Schizosaccharomyces pombe: one gene and its partners. The protein of the gene in region 3 binds, or shares a complex with, the protein of the main gene of each other region. Each region holds a gene or a part of one and is shown on either strand. Other genes may lie near its edges.

The links. The genes of interacting proteins can lie anywhere in the genome.
Region 1: nam9 (region 3) and rsm23 share a complex: the UniProt entries of both Schizosaccharomyces pombe proteins name them as parts of the mitochondrial small ribosomal subunit.
Region 2: nam9 (region 3) and rsm7 share a complex: the UniProt entries of both Schizosaccharomyces pombe proteins name them as parts of the mitochondrial small ribosomal subunit.

What each region holds. Positions count from the first base shown.
Region 1 is NC_003423.3:2,065,554-2,069,889, reverse strand, and holds rsm23 (mitochondrial 37S ribosomal protein mS29), read left to right. Parts: upstream 1-1,899; 5' UTR 1,900-1,951; coding exon 1,952-3,382; 3' UTR 3,383-3,703; downstream 3,704-4,336. Other genes in the region: ribosome biogenesis protein Rrs1, read right to left, coding at 997-1,497; telomerase reverse transcriptase 1 protein Trt1, read left to right, coding at 3,780-4,037, 4,094-4,174, 4,246-4,336. UniProt on the Schizosaccharomyces pombe protein: Component of the mitochondrial ribosome (mitoribosome), a dedicated translation machinery responsible for the synthesis of mitochondrial genome-encoded proteins, including at least some of the essential transmembrane subunits of the mitochondrial respiratory chain.
Region 2 is NC_003424.3:3,518,081-3,521,418, forward strand, and holds rsm7 (mitochondrial 37S ribosomal protein uS7m), read right to left. Parts: upstream 1,762-3,338; 5' UTR 1,681-1,761; coding exon 1,147-1,680; intron 1,060-1,146; coding exon 814-1,059; 3' UTR 634-813; downstream 1-633. Other genes in the region: RhoGEF Scd1, read left to right, coding at 1-446; transcription factor TFIIH complex subunit Tfb1, read right to left, coding at 2,462-2,539, 2,583-3,126, 3,184-3,338. UniProt on the Schizosaccharomyces pombe protein: Component of the mitochondrial ribosome (mitoribosome), a dedicated translation machinery responsible for the synthesis of mitochondrial genome-encoded proteins, including at least some of the essential transmembrane subunits of the mitochondrial respiratory chain.
Region 3 is NC_003423.3:3,727,627-3,731,169, reverse strand, and holds nam9 (mitochondrial 37S ribosomal protein uS4m), read left to right. Parts: upstream 1-1,820; 5' UTR 1,821-1,881; coding exon 1,882-1,917; intron 1,918-1,970; coding exon 1,971-2,918; 3' UTR 2,919-2,975; downstream 2,976-3,543. Other genes in the region: mpg2 (mannose-1-phosphate guanyltransferase), read right to left, coding at 1-1,109, 1,210-1,249, 1,313-1,353; rns1 (putative RNA-binding protein), read left to right, coding at 3,102-3,293, 3,360-3,465, 3,513-3,543. UniProt on the Schizosaccharomyces pombe protein: Component of the mitochondrial ribosome (mitoribosome), a dedicated translation machinery responsible for the synthesis of mitochondrial genome-encoded proteins, including at least some of the essential transmembrane subunits of the mitochondrial respiratory chain.

The DNA.
Region 1 (4,336 bases), 1.7 Mb from region 3:
ATTAATGAGTTTTTCTTTAATTTTTTTTCTATTTATTTGCATTTTTTAAATTTTTTTTATTATTACTACTAAAAGCATCAATCTCATATCAAAATTAATTATTATGTTAAATATTTAAATAAACAAGTCAGTATTAGAAAACTTATTATACACTCGGTTTAAAAATGATTAGAAATTGAAGTATGGCTTGCACATTTATTTATATAATCTACTAAAAATTTATGTTTACCACTCAAAAGGATATGTTTTGATTGAGTATATCATTCATAGAAAATGCAAAAACCAATTTTAGAACATAAACAATTATATTTTTAAAAATTCACAGCTATATTTGCATCAGCCGGGAGTCGAACCCGGAGCTAGAGCATGGGAAGCTCCAATGTTACCGCTACACCACTAATGCATTCAGATATTTAGACTGATGTTGCAATCTATATAGTAATTTAGAAAGGATTGTTATTGTTGAGTCTGATGAAATTCTGTTTGTTGAACATTTCAAAAATGTTGCATATCAGTTAGCCATGAGTTGGGCTCTTAATATGATGTTCCAGCCTTTTAAGACTGCATACAGAAAATAATAATTAACTACGATATGGTCGCATTTTAACTGTATGAAACTTTTTTTACAAGAGGTTATTAGAAAATTCAATTGGAGGAAATCCCACAGTGTATCAAAACAGTTGCTGTTAAAACTTACTTTACACTTAACTCGTAAACATTCAACATTTTAACGTTCGATTTTCGAGTAGCAGCTTCAAAAAAGTGCTCGTTAATTTTTAACACATAAAAATGTGTAAACAAAGCAGCCACATAACCGATGTCTTACATATTCCTTCTGTACCCGTTGATATCCCAATTGAAGAAGGGATTTTAGTTGTAGCAAACAAAAACAAACGATAATAACAAAATAAAAATGATATTATACCACTTAACCCATGAATAGCTAAATTATAGTAAATTTTTAAATTAAGAAAAATTTTTTTTAAGCAGGACCAATTAATGGCGACGAGAGCGCTTGATTTTTTTTGAGGTATTTCTCACTTGCTTGGAAGTAAGCTTCTTTTCCTTTTCTCCCTCTTCAACAAGCCATTGTGTCTCTAATTCCTTATTTTTACCCTTATAACCCCATTTTGGTACCCATTCACCAGATGCTTCATCAAACACCAACCTGCCTTCCCGCTTCTTAGGAGCAATACCTTTAATACGAGCAAACCGTTGCCATTTGGTTTCGGGCTTGGGTTTAGGTAAAGGTTTAGCACGAGGAAGAGGTGTAACAGTTTCAGGAAGCTGTAAAAGGACGCCATCTGATGTACGCTCCTTAGGCAAGGAAATCATTTTGTTCACCAATTGTTGAACGTTATCTCTACTGAGAGAAAAAAGGAATGATTCTTTCTCTGAACCGCTAAGCTTAGTTTCATCTAAGGGAGAAATATCAAATGCAGCCATATTTCCCAAATCGAAATCTAGAGGAATGGAGTTTTCTATTTGTGCAGACATGATTAACGAAATAGGGACAAGGAAAAAAAAAGGGTTGATAATACAATTAAGTGACAAAAAGTTCTCAAAAAAGACTGCAAAATTGATTTGTTAAAAAGTTGGTTCAGGATACGAAATTCTTCTTTCAAACTCCAAAATTTTTATCAAACTACTGAATATATAAGAGAAAAAGCTCTCTTTCAGTTCAGCAATCTACTGTTTTTACTTTCTTTATGACAAACGAAGAAAGTAAGAAAACTTTTACGATTCTTTAGTTTTTGCAAAAGTAGAGACACTTATTAGCAATACGTTAGTTCTCTTTATTACTGAACGCCAAATCTACCCTATTAAAAAATATTAGCAATGCGCTAAGAGCTCAGTAAATACTTACCATCCGGAAGCAGTCAGTCTCTTCATTTACGTGAGAACAGATATGTATACTTAAGATTTACGAGAAAAAAATACCTCTAACAAAATGCTACCGAAGTTTAGAAGCAGAAGTAGTATTATTAAGAATACAGAGAGAATTTCTAATATCCTGTCCGGTGGAAAACTGACTGTTTGCGGTAGTAAACTGGGAGGACTCTACACTTTTGAAAAATGCACATTTAACAAATACTATTCATCCTCACAATACCAGCATACGGGTAGACCTGTTGGAGGAAATATACATTCAAGCTCTAACCAGCAGCGTCAAAAAAATTCGGAAGCGCCAAGAATTAATGAAATTCCCCCCTCAACTTCGTCAGTAGAGAAATCGACGACTATTCCCAATAGTAGCGTTGTATTGGATCATCTCTTAAATGAAGGAGAAAATACTTTAGAAGAGGTGAAGCCCTCTGAAATTCATCCGCATATGTCTTGGTCCAGCAAGTCTGAAGGTAAGATGTTTAAAATCCCCGAGGAATTGCTTAATAAACTTAATGGATTTGGGGCTTTAGAAAAACAAAAAAAAAGTTTCTCCTTTTTTACCAGTGCTTCCCTTTTGCACAGGAAAATTACAACTGAATTAGTGAATGTACTGCAGCGCTCCAAAGACCAGGGTACGAAGGACGGACGTTTTCTTCTTGATGGTGCTCCAGGTTCAGGAAGAAGTATTGCTCTCATACAAGCTGAACTTTTCGCCTTATCACAACCTAATTTTATAGTCTTGCCAGTCCATAACTGCGAAGGATGGGTAAATTCAACGAGTAGTTATGGTTATGATGAGCAACTCAAGTTGTGGGTGCAACCAGATTTAATTAAGGGATTTCTAACTTCTGTTATGAAAACTAATTCTGATAAACTTAAGAAGCTAAAGACCTTTGAAAGTCATGAGTTGCTTCAGAACGAATGCATTCCTGCTGGTACCGATTTACTTTCCTTTCTTCATAAGCTAATTGCTTCCTCGAACGCTCCTAAATCTCTGGAAATATTTTTACAAGAACTCAATAACAATACCAAGTCAAATTCCAATATGAAGGTGTTATTAGTGATCGATAATATTTCTATTTTATCGGTCGTTACCAAGTATAAGGACAAAAAGAACAACTTCCTTCCCCCTAAAGACTTTTACTTTATTAATTTACTTTTCAAATATATTTCGGGTTCGCTTACTTTTAATCGTGGTACTGTTTTAGCTGCTACTTCTAGCCAACCGCGTGTTTCTACCCCGTCATTGGATATAGCTCTTGGAGTAGCTCACAGAAATCCTTACAAATCTTCTGATGAGACTATATTAGATTCATTACAGTCCGTGCATATTCTTAACATGGAGCCTTACACTTTAGATGAGTCACGTCGCATGATGGAGTATTTGGTATCATCCAACGTTTGCCTTGAAAAGGTTGATAATTATTTGCAAAATCATGTCCTTAGTGGTGGTAATCCGCGAAAGTTTTTTGATGCTTGCACACGTCTAGCATGATTGAGATATTCAAAAATTTCTATCCACTACAACTCCTTTAACGCGGTTTTATTTTTCTATTTTCTATTCTCATGTTGTTCCAAATATGTATCATCTCGTATTAGGCTTTTTTCCGTTTTACTCCTGGAATCGTACCTTTTTCACTATTCCCCCTAATGAATAATCTAAATTAGTTTCGCTTATAATTGATAGTAGTAGAAAGATTGGTGATTCTACTCGTGTAATGTTATTAGTTTAAAGATACTTTGCAAAACATTTATTAGCTATCATTATATAAAAAAAATCCTATAATTATAAATATTAATCAATATTTGCGGTCACTATTTATTTAAAACGTTATGATCAGTAGGACACTTTGCATATATATAGTTATGCTTAATGGTTACTTGTAACTTGCATGACCGAACACCATACCCCCAAAAGCAGGATTCTTCGCTTTCTAGAGAATCAATATGTATACCTATGTACCTTAAATGATTATGTACAACTTGTTTTGAGAGGGTCGCCGGCAAGCTCGTATAGCAATATATGCGAACGCTTGAGAAGCGATGTACAAACGTCCTTTTCTATTTTTCTTCATTCGACTGTAGTCGGCTTCGACAGTAAGCCAGATGAAGGTGTTCAATTTTCTTCTCCAAAATGCTCACAGTCAGAGGTATATATATTTTTGTTTTGATTTTTTTCTATTCGGGATAGCTAATATATGGGCAGCTAATAGCGAATGTTGTAAAACAGATGTTCGATGAAAGTTTTGAGCGTCGAAGGAATCTACTGATGAAAGGGTTTTCCATGGTAAGGTATTCTAATTGTGAAATATTTACCTGCAATTACTGTTTCAAAGAGATTGTATTTAACCGATAAAGAATCATGAAGATTTTCGAGCCATGCATGTAAACGGAGTACAAAATGATCTCGTTTCTACTTTTCCTAATTACCTTATATCTATACTTGAGT
Region 2 (3,338 bases), on a different chromosome or scaffold from region 3:
CTACTAATGATTGCGACGTAATGAGACCTCGTCAATATTCATATTCAGCGGGTATGAAATCAGATGGTAGTTTGCTCCCTTCTACTAAACATACTTCGTTAAGCTCGAGTTCCACGTCTACCTCCCTATCAGTTCGAAATACCACGAATGTTAAAATTCGTCTCCGTTTACATGAGGTTAGTCTCGTCCTGGTTGTTGCTCATGATATAACATTTGATGAGCTGTTAGCCAAGGTAGAACATAAAATAAAGCTTTGTGGGATTTTGAAACAAGCTGTTCCTTTTCGGGTTAGACTGAAGTATGTTGATGAGGATGGCGATTTTATAACCATCACATCCGATGAAGACGTTTTAATGGCATTTGAAACGTGCACGTTTGAACTTATGGATCCTGTCCATAATAAAGGAATGGATACTGTGTCTTTGCACGTTGTTGTTTATTTCTAAACTAGCATTGTGCTAGCTGTACATTGTCAATTTAATTTATATAGAGGAAATTAACAGTTTAGTCGATGAACTAATTTACTTTCCCTTCTTTGTTTTGAAAAAACAACAATATACTTCATAGAAGATAAATTCTGTAGCATTTCCGTTAACTGAAAAGGAGCTGTAGAAGAATGTTGATGAATATTATGAAAGTTATTTTACAACCAAACTATAACCTCATAAACATGAATATGATTAACTGCGCACTACGTAGTATAATTGAGTTGATAACTAAGAGTAATCAATTCTCGATATACTAGACAAAAATAACATTACTAAAAGGGAATGCAATTCATAAAAAAGATAAAAATGTACGGAATTTTTGTTTTTATATACGAACGGGTGCATTACCTCTGTTAACAAGGCACATTCTGTGCAGATGATCTTTCTTTTTGAAACAATTGCTTGTCTTGCTCCTGATAGCAATGATTTCTTTAACAATACGATCTGATAATCTTTTAGGACTTGATGATTTACATTCACCGAGGATCCATTGTAACGCAATCCTTCTTCGCTGTCGCTCTTTCAATGGCATAGGAAATTCGACACTTTTGTTAAATCGCTTTGCAGAAACCTATCAAAATATTAGCAAATCCGTCTACACACTATAAAAAGAAATAATTCACAAAAAATTCCAAAATTTTCAATAATTTCGACGTACCAACTTCATTAAGGGAGAAATCTCAGCGATTGCTTGTTTCAAAACATCTATAGGATTTTCACCGGTTTCTTTTTGTATGATAGAGAGCGCTGTTGCAACAATCTTTTCAGCTTTAGCTTTTTTCCCATCTCGCATTATTAAATTCACCAAATGCTGTACTGTAGAGTCGACCTGAAATGGTCGATCTATTAACCCTACAATTGAACTTGACGGAGAAGGCCACAGATTTGTACCCATTAGCGGCGGTTCTTCATTTTCAACTTCAATTTTTTTCTCTAATTCACCCATAAAATCGTCGGAGGCAGACTGTTCGACAGAATCTTGAAGTTGATTCAGTAAATTTTCGAGTCCCGCATTATCCCATTGTGGATTTGAACGTTCATTGATATCTTCAATTTTTTCATTATATTTTTCATTTGAGGTAAATTTTCCAACTTGAAAAGTACGAGTCTGATGGATAAAAACAAGCGACTCTTTCATCAAATGTCCCGAACTCGCACATCGAAACAAAGGTTGCTTTATGAGTCGTAGCATGGCCCTTTATTGTTTGTTCTTTCTTCTTGAATGAAATTTTTAAAACAATTACTCTTATTAATCAAAGCATGTAGGAAAGCTAAGGTGTGCGTAGATGTTTAAGCTTAGTACATATACACTATGGATAAATGAAAGAAAAGGGAAGGGAACTAGGCGCTAGCGTGCTACATTTCAAAGTCGTTTGGCTATTTATTTATTAACTTGAAATAAGATAAATTAGGTAATCGATGTTAAAATATTCATCATTAATTGTGTATCCAAATTTAATACTTGAGCTAGACACAGTTTTATTGGGATCATACAGAACTGATACCTTGAAAGAAAGTAAAAAAAAAAGTTATATATAATATACAGAGAAGCGATAAATTGAAAAATTGTAAAAACAAGCATTTAAAACAAAAGAGAGAAATTATGGGACATTAATTAATTGAACATCAGTTTATAACATACTATATTCGTGTCATAAAACGAATTTTAATAAATAATAAAATCTATAAAGACATAAAAACATTAGATTTTGGCCTATGAGCACAGTAATCTAAAAACAGTTTTGATTGTCTTTTGAATCTATAAACCAAAACAAAAGTTTTTTAATTCAAGAGTTGTATAAACAGAAAAAGAGCCATATCCAGCATTTCAATGTTCATTTTTTCCAGCCTTTATGAAGAAAGAACATTAAGTCCAATAAAGAATATATCAATATATCATTAACCTCTATATGGAAAAACAGAAACAATTACCTTTTACAAGCACAATTGAGTTTCCAAAGACATTATCAAACCTAAGCAGGAGGATAAGACATTCGTCTTTGATACTCCGAGATTGACGTATCAATAGAAGTGAGCGTACAGGATACCAACTAATCCTAGTTAATAATCAAAATCTCTACAAAAAAAACTTACCTCATAAACCAGTTTTGGATCAACGTTTTGTTCCTGAGCCTGGCTCGCAATTGCCTCCACCCTTTTTTTCGAATTTAACAGAGCATTCTGAAGGGGGGCCATCGCCTTCTTGTCCGGGAAAGTTGTATTCAACAAGGCATTCCAAAATTGATGCAAAAATTCTATCGTAACGGTATGGCACAAAACAATTTCATTTTTTATGTCAATAGGTAAATTTGATGCAGTGCCGTGGGTCTCAAACTCATGCTTTTCGCGCATACTCTGAGTAAGCTGCATAGCGGCTTCAGCCAAAGAGTCAGAATCATGTTCAATGTGATTTAAGCTTATCGAATCTTCCTGGTATAAATGTTGAAGAGCTTCCAATGAAGGCAAAGGCTCTAAACCAACTTGATTTTTTGAGGGGACAAAATTATTTTCCAATAACTGATCTTGACCTTTGATTTTTAAGACAACTTTAGAGTCACTGGCTTCTTCTTCTAAATCGTGAAAACCAGATTCTTTTAAGTATGTTTCTTCATTTTCGTTGTTAAATCGTTTAGAGTTTCTACAAGTTGTTAGGCATACCGAAGCAATAACAATTAATAAAACCGAATATACATACCCCAAACTTTTTTCCAAAAGTCTTTCCGAAAGCTGATTGATGTTTTTCATAAACGGTAGAGCTTCTTTGTCAATTCGCATAGTGATATCAGGTCTAAGTTCTGCTATTACATTTGCATTTTGATCATTTCCTTCTAAATCAAAGAGGTGCGATGC
Region 3 (3,543 bases):
AGGCAATTTTGAACGCGTACTTCATCATGGACTATACAATCGGCGCCCATAACAGTAATAGCTTGGACTTTAACGCTGTTACGCATAATCGTAGTGGAGTGCTGGCTTGGAAGAGTTGGAGAACCTTCGACTCGAGACCATTTACCAATCTTGCAATGGCGGGAAAGAATGGAATGTAAAACAACAGCATTGGCAGAAATTTCGCAATCCTCTTGAATAATTGAGTTTCGAATACGTGCGCCATCCTCGATGCGAACACGAGCACCAATTGAAACATTGGGTCCAATCTTTGCACCTTTGCTAACAATAGCATTAGGATGAATAAAAACCGGCTGAATGATCTCAGCCTCAGTGTCGGGTTTTGGAAGAGTACCATCATGATATGCCTTTTGTAAATACAAGGAATTAGCAGGAACAGCAGAGCCAGCGGTTTTTATTTGACGCCAGAACTCAGGAGTATTATAAGCATAAATGGCTTTAGAGGAATCTGAGCACAATGGAGCAAGCACATCGGTCTCCAAACTGAGGTAGTCTTCCATTCCTTCATCCAAGGACCTGAGTTGCTTCTCGACCTCCTCAAGTCTACGCTCGTACGCTTTTTTGATTTCATCGAATATAGAGGCATCAAAGATATAAATACCACATGAAATAATATTTGAAAGATAGGAGCTTGGCTTATCAACATAATGAAGTACACGCCCAGTACTTGGTTCCTCTACAAGGCAACCGAAGTTAGAAGCATCTTCTTTACTAACCTTAGTAGCCATTAAAGTAACTAAAGCTTTCTTCTCGTGATGAACGTTTAACAATTCTTGTAAGGGAAAACTGCAACACACATCCGCATGCATAACAAAAACATTAGAAGTATGTCCTTTAAGGATTTGATCACGGAAATGGTATAAGCCGCCACCAGTTCCTAAGCAGTTGTATTCACGGAGATACTTGATACGATTGAAACTGGGGAAATGCGAAGCTACTTCGTTGATAAAATCTTTGAAAACGCTTTCATCGTAGAAACCAACCAAAAAGACATCTTTAACACTTTCAATCTTGGATAAAGCCGCCAAATGATGGTAAATCATTTCTCGTCCTCCAATTTTAAACAAAGGCTAATTTAGTTAGCAAAATAGCTCTTATGTTTCAAATGCAACTAGAAAGTAAAACTGGATTACGTATTTTACCAACATATAAATTCTAAATAAGACGTACTTTAGGGACATCAAACGAAAGAGGGCGGAATCGGGTACCACTGCAAAGTAATTAGTTACTGATATTCACGCGTTTAATAGACTTATTTTTCGTTGGTACGTACCGAGATGGACCCCCGACCAGAATGACAGCAGAGGAAATCATAATAGCAATTTAATACTAAAAAATCAATAATGAGTATCAAAATCACCAAAAACGAAAGAGATATACGCCTCTTGAAACTTGGTGTGTGGTTCTGTGCAAGTCCTGTCCAGCTCTCCTTTGTTTAATAAGGAAGGTAGCGCTATGAGCTAACTTCTGCCAGTTCATATTTGCACTTAATAGCCTGGCTGCAGAAGATAATACTCTATGTAACAATGAAATACTAATGTAAATCAATTTAGTTCAAAAACCCATGATCTAAAAATTGTGCTGCAGGCTGAGGCACTTTGCCAGCCGTGAGGAACTTAATGCTCATCATCAGCTGTTTTGCAGAAAATAGTAAAGCACCTTCTAGCTTTGGTACAAATTATAATGCATTAAAACTTAAATAAATAAAATTTACTAATTGAATTTTCGAGTAAAAGTAGCCTTTTTAAAAATTTGTTCTCTTTAATCACCTTTATGAATTTACCATCAACTTCACGCACTACGCTGGAAGATTGGACTCTCGTGACAAAGACTTAATTGCTCATGAAGGGGAAATTTAGGTTCTCTTTAAAGCGCGGTGTATGTTATATATGAAATTATTGATTTTTTCGCTTTTATTAATACATATCTAGCTTTTGCGTCCGTCGTGGAACAAATACAATATATACAACATTGCAAGAAAACAACTACCTGCTCTGAATAATAGAACTTTATATCAAAAAAAATGGAATGCGAAGAAGGAAACAAGGTCTTATCATGGTCCTCAATTACGCGAATATCAACTGAAAAATGCCTTCCGCCCAAAATTGGAGGGGGTTATTTCTTCCTTAGATAATAAGCTTCCCATCCCTTTTATGAATCAGACTTATGCATTTTTGGAATCCCGTTTAGACATGTCTATTCATCGAGCGTTATTTGCGTCTAGCGCTTTACAGGCTCGCCAACTGGTGCTTCATGGAAAAGTGCACGTAAACGGAAAACCTGAACGCCGTGCCTATCGTCAACTCTTACCTGGTGATTTAGTAACTGTTGATCAAAAATCAGTAATGAATTGTGTTTCTGCCTCTAGTAACAATACCCCTTCTATACAGGATGGGAAGCAAACTGAACAGGTGTCCTCTAAGGATGGAGAAAATGAAAAAAAAAAGGATAATGATGATGATTTATTTGAACAGACTTCTAATGGAAAGTTGCCCTCTATCAATGAAACAATTTCCAACTTTGTTCCTAAACCGTTTATGTCACTAATGGCATTTATCCCTGCTTATTTAGAAGTTTGCTTCCGCACTTGTTCCTTTGTTTATGTGCGTGATCCAGTTGCTCGTCCTGGCTTAACGGAAGTTCCTTCTCCATTTCCTGAAGACTTGCACGCTTTAGCCTATACATACTATATCAGAAGTCGTAATATGCGGCAAGGAGCAGCTAGATGTCAGGCCAGACGGCTTATTCCGCAGAAAGTACGCGATGCATCATTTTATCAAGGACCTCCTGAATTATATAAAAAACGAAATGTTTCTCCCAAAGAAGCATTCTCTCATCGGTATCCAGTTCGTCAAGGAAAGTTGACGAAACTCGTATAAATCGAATAAATGAACTCCTCTCAAAAGTTTAGTAATAAAATATAAAACATTCTCAATTATGCTTTTTGTAATACTATGTTGATTTCCACTTTTGTTTTCCTGCTCTATGAAGTAACTGCCCTGTCTACTGCTATCCACGTAACCAAATCTTATACACATACAAGAACTGGCACATCTTTTTTCATGTACCAAAAGGAGGCCTTTTATCGTGGACGTAGCTCAACAAGACAATTTAACAATACCCGATCTCCATCTGGACGTTCAGCGTCGCGTTCTTCCAATTTCTCACATCGGTCTAGTAGTCGTGATTCTTTTTCCTCGAATAGATCTTACTCGAGTTCGCTTTCCAGATCTCCAGAAGAACCATTGCGAACAGTACGTTTTCCATGTATAATTAGTTATTTAAGGCATACTAATCGTTTCTAATACGATGCAAAATAGATTCTTGTGGAAAATTTGACGCGTAATGTCACTAAAGAACATATAGCAGAAATATTTGGGATTTATGGACTAATTGATCATATTTTCATGCCAATTTATAAAAAATGTGAGTGAGCTTTTATTTTTTATGAATTACACCCACTAACTTTGCAGCTGAATTGAATAAAGGGTATTGCTACATAGA